3 linked regions of the Bombyx mori genome follow. The protein of the gene in region 1 purifies or fractionates together with the protein of each later gene. This does not show direct contact. Links are inferred from orthologs where the notes say so. Each region holds a gene or a part of one and is shown on either strand. Other genes may lie near its edges.

The links.
Region 2: the proteins of H/ACA ribonucleoprotein complex subunit 4 (region 1) and ruvB-like 2 purify together in Homo sapiens (affinity purification with mass spectrometry; 5 studies listed by BioGRID and IntAct, counting the BioPlex papers as one, with this or other methods). This does not show direct contact. The link is inferred for Bombyx mori from reciprocal best matches to the Homo sapiens genes DKC1 and RUVBL2.
Region 3: the proteins of H/ACA ribonucleoprotein complex subunit 4 (region 1) and H/ACA ribonucleoprotein complex non-core subunit NAF1 purify together in Homo sapiens (co-immunoprecipitation; 7 studies listed by BioGRID and IntAct, counting the BioPlex papers as one, with this or other methods). This does not show direct contact. The link is inferred for Bombyx mori from reciprocal best matches to the Homo sapiens genes DKC1 and NAF1.

What each region holds. Positions count from the first base shown.
Region 1 is NC_085130.1:16,026,871-16,029,213, reverse strand, and holds part of H/ACA ribonucleoprotein complex subunit 4, read right to left. Parts: intron 2,257-2,343; coding exon 2,130-2,256; 3' UTR 1-2,129.
Region 2 is NC_085117.1:3,008,988-3,013,348, forward strand, and holds the start of ruvB-like 2, read left to right. Parts: upstream 1-1,545; 5' UTR 1,546-1,734; coding exon 1,735-1,740; intron 1,741-1,860; coding exon 1,861-2,047; intron 2,048-2,347; coding exon 2,348-2,464; intron 2,465-3,136; coding exon 3,137-3,218; intron 3,219-4,093; coding exon 4,094-4,256; intron 4,257-4,361. UniProt on the Homo sapiens protein: Possesses single-stranded DNA-stimulated ATPase and ATP-dependent DNA helicase (5' to 3') activity; hexamerization is thought to be critical for ATP hydrolysis and adjacent subunits in the ring-like structure contribute to the ATPase activity.
Region 3 is NC_085109.1:2,572,724-2,575,439, forward strand, and holds the end of H/ACA ribonucleoprotein complex non-core subunit NAF1, read left to right. Parts: intron 1-400; coding exon 401-537; intron 538-1,246; coding exon 1,247-1,742; 3' UTR 1,743-2,057; downstream 2,058-2,716. UniProt on the Homo sapiens protein: RNA-binding protein required for the maturation of box H/ACA snoRNPs complex and ribosome biogenesis.

The sequences.
Region 1 (2,343 bases):
CTATTAATTTAAATTGTTTTATCGTTCAATAATTTTCTATATGTATTTTGAGGTTTTTGTTTCTGAATCTAAGTTTAAGCACTAAAAAATACAAAAGAGTTGTTAGGGACTTTTATTTTGAAAAAAAAAAACATCATTCCTCATTATTCATTCGTACCACTTATGAACTAATCTTATAAACTATCTTAACAATGTACAATGTTTTAATAAACGACGACAAATTACAAAATTTTAACTTTAGCAATTTGAGCATTGAGTTCTGCAATTTTATGGATTGGAGTTTTAGAACGGAAATGACTAACCTTTTTTTTTGAGGCAAATGATTTCAGCTCGGTTAAAAGAGAGTCTGGAGCAGTTGGGAGTTATTATTATACATGCATACTCTATTTATGTAATGCATATTCATATAAAAAAAATCACAAAAGATTTTGTCGAGTTGTGTGTGGCTAGAACACGCATAGGATTATCAAATTGGATCTGTAACACAACAATAGTGTCAAAGATTACTAACTACTCAATTAAATGTGGATTAGAATATATGAGTCGACTATTATCAAAGCCGGCAATCTGACTTTTGGACAATGATTGGTAAATCAGAAAAACGAATTATTGACTTTGTATTCCATTGGCAGTCACAAAACTCTTCGGAACGACATCTTAGATAATAATAGGTTAACTATTAACCTTTATTTAATGCAGGTTTTGAACCGTATTCTTTGAAGGAGACGATTATATTCAAATCAATCTGTATTGACATATCAATAAAAAATTTTTGTCCAAATGATTGCCACCTTTGATAATAGACGACTCATATATTCTTTGACAATGTTTAAGACTCTCTTTGACACAATAGATTAGACATATAAAAGGGTGCGTGTACTTATGTACGCGCGTAAGAAGATTTACTTTATTTTTATTAAATTTATTTTTTTTTTTTTATTTAAATTTTAATCAATTTGAAAAAAATCGATTAAACAACATCCTCAAACACGCATATTTGACATCCCTTTTCTTGACATCGTATAAATTCGGTAATTCTCGGTACGGTTCGGAAAGTTCACCTGCGGCTATATTCAGACTCGCCAAGTTACGTCGGTTGTATTGTAATGAGCGATTTAGTGGACAACTTCATTCTGTTAATTTTGTGTCACGGTGCGCGCGCATCGTAAAATTTCACTCTCATCAATTTTTCATAACGCGCCTTAAAAAGTATAACTTCAAAAAACAGTATTTTTTAAGTAGTTTACGTGCTAAATCACAATGTAACATATTGCTAAAGTTAAAATATTGTAAACGCCATAGACATTTGTCCATTCCAAACGGAACTACATCAAAATTTGAATTTACTTATATTTTTTACGCTTAAAAGAGAACCATTCTCAATTAATACCATGTCCATTTCTTATGACATATTTATGGGTACATGTTACTTCGTAATTACACTTAATATTCTTAGTGTGTAAAGAAACTATTTCAGTAAAATAAAACATAAAGTTTAGTTTGATTTGAAGTTAATATTCAAAATTAAAATTACTATTATTGAAGTTTCTTGACAACACACAATGTAACCAAATTGTCAGAATCAGCTGAGAGACAAGGTCAAGGCCCTCGTGAAAAGCAGCCATATTGAAATTTAATTAAATTTGAAGGTAATCAGTATTTTTCCTAGTTGCCTAAACTTGCCTTGTTATTAAATGTTCACTTTAGATACTTTTTGAATAATCCAGTTTTGTGTTTAGTTTTCAAAATTTTTCCAATAAAGGGTACCATTTTACCAATAAATTTGATATACTTAACATAGCAGTTTTGTTTTTAAATTTCCATACATATTATTGATAAGAGATGGTGGGAATTTTTTTTCTCTAATTACAAATTAGATTAATTACATTTAATTTTGTGAAAATACCTTCTGCTACGAATATAATACTTATTTCATTAATCTTGTTTCTGTTAATTCAATATGAAATCTCCAACTTTTTACATTTATATATCCGATTATTGTATCACTGATAAATGTATGTCGAATTCAAAAAACGCAATTTCTTAATATAAGCTGTACAATGTTGTCTTTCAAATCTAAACGTAACTCAGTTTAAAATCTACAAACTGTTTGTTTTGCAACATCAAATTCATTCATCAACCTCTTGTTTATCTTTCTTCTTTTTCTTTTTCTTCTCTTTGCGCACAGAATCATCTGCTGGTTGTTCTGCTGTCTCTGGTGACTCCGATGTGTCCATAGTGGCGTCTGCTTCGGCACTGGAATTATGAAGAAATTGAATAGATTGTGTAGAAATGTGTATAAATAAAGCACAATAAGCTAGGGCTTTGTAATCGTACAAACAA
Region 2 (4,361 bases), on another chromosome or scaffold:
AATGAGGCCGAAAATCCGCCATGTTTAGCGCGCCAAATGTCATTGTCACGTCAGTTCGGCCGTCTGTTTTGGGTTTTACATTATTTATTGACTTTGATATCGATTTAATATGATTGCTTATATAAAATTTCTTATTTTATCATGCTTAAAACATACAAAAATAATAATTAAAACATATTTTATAGGATCTCAAGAAAGTCGTCGGAACTATTTAAATAAAATAGTTTTATAACACTATTGTCAACTCGTTTAATATTTAATAATTAAGTGATTTTAGAGAGGAAGTCACAAGGAATGTTTGTAATTTTATTAACGAATAAATGTTTTGTAGGTGTTTTTTTTATCAGGCGGTCCCTTGATAAGTTTAAAATGGTGCGGCGTACCTTCCTTGAGGTGCGCTGCGGTAGTGTGTTACGGACTTTAGAGTCAGCAAAACAATTAAAATAGATTGTAATAGTCTAAGAAAAACACGTACTCAAAATACGATATCATTCAGCATGCTCGAAATGGGCAGATGGCACTGTACTACGCCATATCTTTATGTTTTGCGGCAAACGACAACTTTATAAAATTAGTGTAGCAAATTTTAAAAATCGTCATATCGTTTACTTGGCAAATTTAAAGCACGAACTCGTCTTAGATTACACATAATATCTAAATCACATCATCTTTGCACATAACAATATACTTACTTCCTATTAAAGTATAAATTCGACAAATACATTCACTCAACAATATTTAAAATAAAATGAGCCAAGAACGTTTATCGATAAAACCTACTAACATTAAAATCATCTGGGCAGCACTAAAACCGCCATCTTTTGTGGCCAGATGACGTCACAGTGGCACGAATTTTTTGTTGACGTTTCATTTCCATAGGTTTCCTACTTCAGTGATTAAACGAGACTTCAGCCACTGTGATGTCTACGCACTCTGGTAACTTAATAGGCTAGCTATAAGGTCGTATAGCTAACGAAATATATAAAAAATAGAGTGAAAGCCGTGGCTGTATGAAAGTGAGAGCTGGTTTGATTAGGGATGGTCCTACAATGTTTCGGTGTTAAAAAAAACGATATTAAAAATTTGTTTATGAAAATCTTATCAAATTCATAGTGAAATGATGTTCTCTTGGTTTATATGTCTATTGTGTTTGAAAAAGGCTATTAAAAATAAGCTTTTCTCTTATTCAGAGTTATTTTTGTTAAAAATACCATGAAAGTCTTTTGAGATAATTTTTTTATGAATGAGGGATTACTGGTGGCCCGGAGGCTTTTCCAATTTCACCAGGACAGATGGGTGAACAAAGGCTCAGCCAGGGGGGCTAGGATTTGCTAACAGCTCCTAAGCGCCTTCAAAGGAGACCTACAACCTAAAAACAGCTGCTTTACGAATGAATCTACTACTAGATCGGAATCGCAACCCGCTGAGAATATCCACCGAGAAACTCAGCGGGCTAACGCATGGATTAGGTGGCACGACGAACTAACTAAAAAACTATCTAACATCGAAACTTAACGAAAACATACATTCGGTGACAGCTGTCAGTCGCGATCATCGAAGTATACGACGAATCAAATGTCAGTGTCATGTCATTAACGTAGTATAATCTGTTTTGTTAAATTTGTTTGGAGACCAAACACGCAAAAGCGCCGCATTTGTTTTTGTGAAAATTACATTTAAAACATAGTTAATTAGTATTAAAACTACCTCACTAGTGTTTAAAATACCACGAAAATGGCTGTAAGTATCTAAGCTTTATGTATAATTCGTAAATAGTGTGTATTTAAACTGAAATCATAACCTCAAAAATTGTAAAATTGGGATTTTCCTTCAGAATAAAAAAGTCATTGTACGTTTTAGTCAATAGCAGCGGCGCAAGTACAAGAAGTGCGTTCTATAACGCGCATCGAGAGAATTGGCGCGCATTCCCACATTAGAGGACTGGGCTTAGATGACTCTTTGGAGCCAAGACAAGTATCGCAGGGCATGGTCGGCCAGAAGATGGCAAGGAAGGCCGCCGGAGTCATCTTACAGATGATTCGAGAAGGTATCCTAAAGGAAACTTTTTGATCAAACAATACAGTTGCTAGGTAACAAGAAATTTTCAAACTTTTTTTTCAATTAAACAGTTTGCGGCTTAGGAGCTAAAATGTTATGTTTATGAACTCGTTTTCTATGGTACTGCTATGTCCTTTTGTTATAATATTCTTTCATCACTTAACTAATTTGTTTAGATAAGCAGTGTAGAGTAATAAAAAACTGAGTGGAACCTTGTGGGCGCCAGTTAAGCGCAGCCCGGTCAACAGGTGAATTTATATCACATACATCTACAATATTGTAATTATAGGTAAGATAGCGGGACGAGCAGTGTTATTGGCCGGTCAGCCTGGTACAGGGAAGACTGCCATCGCTATGGGACTAGCACAAGCTCTGGGACCGGACACACCATTTACGAGCATGGCCGGTGAGTGAAACAATTCCACCATCTTTTTTTATTATTTACATGTGTTTTTTTTTTAATACAACTCACCTTTTTTTTTGTCAGTCCTCAATTTATTTCGTTAGTTTGTTTGCCTTAAATTTAAGCTGCATTATGTTCTAAATACATAATTCAGGCACAGTTGTTTTTTTACATTTAGTTGATAATTCTAAAATAAGTGTTAATTGCATTAGAGAATTAATAAATAAATCAAAATGCATAATTTGTATGGTACTATGTTAATTGTTCCTTAATAAATCAATTTGCGAGTGTGGCTGACTAAAACTTCTGCTGTAAATTAGATATTTTTGTTACCACCATGATCAGCTTTGGTTTCAGCTATCTTCATGAGATTCAAGTTACTTATGGTTAGCTTTGAAAGACGCTCATCAATGAATATATCCTAGTTTCTCACTTTTATATATCCATAAACACAACCCAGTGAGTTTCTCGTCCGATCTTAGCTGATCGCGATTCTCATCCATTAGCTTGGCCATATTTGCTTGCTTATTAGCAAAATTTCTCAGGCTGACCCAATGAGCTCATAAACCGTCCGGGTGGAGCTGAATAGTTCGATAGGAAACTAGCAAATGGGTAGAGTAAAAAATAACTATTTAATTTTATTGAAATAAATTTATATTGTTTTCTCTTTGACAGGTTCGGAGATATTCTCTTTGGAAATGAGTAAAACTGAGGCTCTAACGCAGGCCATCAGGAAGTCTATAGGTATTAGAATTAAGTAAGTAAAATTTTATATTGTTCATTATACATACCACTAACTACTACTACTATTGCACTAACTAAGAATTTGTATGGTACATTGTAAACATATATTACATGAAAACATAAGTGGATGAGGGGGATATGATACAATTTGTTAATTTTGAGAAAACGTTTCTTTCTTGTACTTTTTCTTCGTACACAACTCCTTCCTCAATTTCTAAATATAACCTTTAAACCTGGCGTTTTAAGGTCTAATATGGTTTATAGGCACATAACACCTTCATCCAAAGTAAAAACTCAAAAATCTTAAAAATTGTACTTAACCCCTTCATCCACTCATGTCTTTAATCTATGTGAATTATTGTATGTATATTCGAAATTACTTTTTTACGGTTTTTATTTCATTTTTTCATCGTTGAAACGGGTGAATATGCTCACGGCCCATGGAGGTCAGTGGACATCAATGACGTAATTGTCATCTTGAGACGTGAGTTCTTTAGAACAACGGCTGGCCCCACCCTTCAAAGCGAAACGCATTATAGCTTGAGAATGACGTTCAAAGTTAGTTACGTCGTTTAGACTTTACGTCTTTTTAATGTTTGTGTGTGTGTGTGTTTTTCTTTCCTACCTTATCTGATAGCTTTGAGAGGTTATGTCAGCGTCACCGGGCGAGTAGGTTAGCCCACAGGGCTCAAACCTGATGACGTTGCTAAGACGAACCCTAGCAAGAGCCTAGCTTCTCAGAATCTGCCACCGGATCGCTACCTACTGAGAAGATCCGGCGAGAAACTCAGTGGGTTGAAGAACGATGACCGCTGGACCACTTTCACCCTTCGATATGATTTTTGTACCAGCGTTGCCTTATTGATATTTTATTATTCGTAATCGCAGGGAGGAGTCTGAGATAATTGAAGGGGAGGTCGTCGAGGTGGTAGTGGAGCGTGCGGCGGGGGGCGGCGGCGCCAGGGTCGGCCGTCTCACCCTCAAGACCACCGACATGGAAACGAACTACGACATGGGAGCCAAAATGATTGATTCGCTGCTTAAAGAGAAGGTCTGATATATGGTACTCTGGTACTAAGGTTTATCGACAAAGCGAAAATCTTCCACTGAGTTGGTGATATTGCTCGGTAGAGATACGGTCAGTTTTTTTTTTTCC
Region 3 (2,716 bases), on another chromosome or scaffold:
TTTTTTTTGTTTATGGTAAATATATATATACTGTTATATAAATGTGACTGGCGGCTTACTAATTTAAATATCCTATACCGTATTCTTTGCCTGTGTGATTATATCAATGTTTTAAAATTACTGGTGGTAGGACCTCTTGGGAGTCCGCGCGGGTAGGTACCACCACCCTGCCTATTTCTGCCATGAAGCAGTAATGCTTTTCTGTTTGAAGGGTGGGGCAGCCGTTGTAACTATACTGAGACCTTAGAACTTATATCTCAAGGCGGGTGGCGCATTTACGTGGTAGATGTCTATCTGTGGATTCCAGTAACCACTTAACACCAGGTGGGCTGTGAGCTCGTCCACCTATCTAAGCAAAAAAAAATATGTTTAGTATGTTTTTTTTTTTGTTAATTTTCAGATAACGGAGCCGCACTATTGCGTCCGGTTCAACTCACTCGATCACGTCAAAGAACGAGGCGTACAAACCGGGATGGAAGTATTCATCGCGCCAAAAAGCCAACACACTAATTACGTATTTATATCAGAACTGATGAAGTGAGTTTGTATTTGAAACTTGTTTGCAGGGTTTTTTATTTATTAATTATCGTCAAACCAACTACGAAACCAAATTAACTGTTACCTTAAAAGAACATAACACATTAATTAGTTTTCATAAATAGTGTATTTCTGACACACAGTAAAGTCAACTAGCATAAGGCCCTCCCGTTGTCTCGACACCACAGATCCCCGGGTCCGTTGAACTTTCATTAGTGCTACTTTGCCATTTTTAGTGCCATCATAACATTAGGTTTTTTTTTATTCCTACTTAAGCTGATAGCCTTGAGAGGCTATATCAGCGTAGCCTTAGCTAGTAGGTGAGCTCACGGGGCTCAAACCTGACGACGTTGCTAACACGAACCCTAGCAATAGCCGTGCTTCGCAGAATCTACCACCGGATCGGAAACGCGATCGATCCACTGAAAAGATCCGGCGAGAAACTCAGTGGGCTGTGTCTGAGGGTTAATTTACTCGTCGAGCCCTTCGTCGCAAGCGACGGGTTCGACGAGAACGATGACCGCTGCTTGTGGTACCGAAAGCACCGTTAGTGGATCGGGAGGATCCGAAATGACGTGTTTGGGGCGACGTCGACTGCTTTCCATTATGTCCGCAGGATCGGGAATGTAGTTACCGGCTTTATCGAAGTGTAACATTAGTAATCGGAGATCATTATATCAAATTTATTTTTCTTTCTTCTTCCTTCCAGAGTGAGAGGCTGTGACGCTTCTTGGCTGAACGACATCGAGCCGCCGCCTAGTCACATCGACTACTCCGACGACGAAGAGGAGCGCAGGGCGGCGCGGGCTCGCAAGACGAAAAACAAAGAAGACGAGAACACTCAGAACGACGGAGAAACGTCCCGGAACGTTCGGAAACCGGTCGAGAGACGGAACCAGAGGCCTTCGGAGTGGAATAGCAGATTCGGTAGCGGGCCGAGCAGAGGTCGCAATCCTTTCGCGCTCGGGTCCAGGCGCCACGGCAGACCTCCCCCTCTCTCTGCAGACGGATCGGCTTTCATCCCTCCCTTCAACCCGAACACCCCGCCCCCCTATAACCCGGCAGCGCCCCCTCCGTTCTCAAGCCTGTTCCAGTTCGGAAGCTCTCCGCGCCTGCACAGTCCCTTCCGCACCAACGCTCCGGTGTTCATGTCCACCCCGGGTCCGCACTGGCTCACCCGCCCCCCTCCCCCACCCGGAACTTAATGCGGCCGCGTACAACGATTTAGGTTTTAATCTCTGTAATTATCAATACACAATTTGGGTAACCTTGACCTCTTCGTGAGAGAGGTTGTTCCAGAGAAATTTGAAAACGCTTTCCAGTAGGAATATTCTGTTGGATAAATAAATGCGCGTACTGTATATCCGAGGTCGAGCGGCCAACGTTCCCTGCGAGGTCAAAGTTACACATGTTGATTACAATTAGTTTACTACGGTTATCGCAGTTATTGTTTAACAATACTGAACGTGTGGTTATCCAAAAATTATATTTATACTATAATAAATATGATACCTCATTCAGCCATCGGTTTTATTTGCTTTTATTCTGTTAAAAATTAAGTCGATCCTTGGAAGAGTTTTCAAACGCTTGGGCGTACAAAACGATGCAAAAATATGTTAAAACTTTTTAAGACAGTTAATAGGATTAGTGGACTATTAGTGATCTGTGTTGAAATTGCAGTTTTAACTAAATAGCATAATTAAGGTAAAGTAACGCAAACTCTCAAAATATACACTGGTACACAGTAAGAAAACCGAAAACCGAAAACTGAATACTGTGGCAGGTATATCTTTAGCAAGTGAAGGATACCACAGATCGCTCTTGAGCCTAGTTTAGGGCAATCCTAAACTTGACACTTTATATATCATTGTTTTCAGTATGGCAACACAAGTCGTTGCAGTTGCACAAAAAATTCTGGTCGTAATTGCACGGTTCTTTATTCTATGTATACAATACCGTCTTTACCATAAGGGTACACGTGGCCCTTATCCAGAGCCCTCATTCTCAGGGGGCCCCGAAAGACCGACAATTTCTCTCACACGTTTATTCTCAAAACATTTTTGTCGGGCACATTACACTTTTTTCATAAATCAGTAATCACAAGGCATATACTATGCCTATAATACAAGATTTTGCTCAGCAGAAATCCCGAAAGAAACCGTTATCGAAATCGTAACCA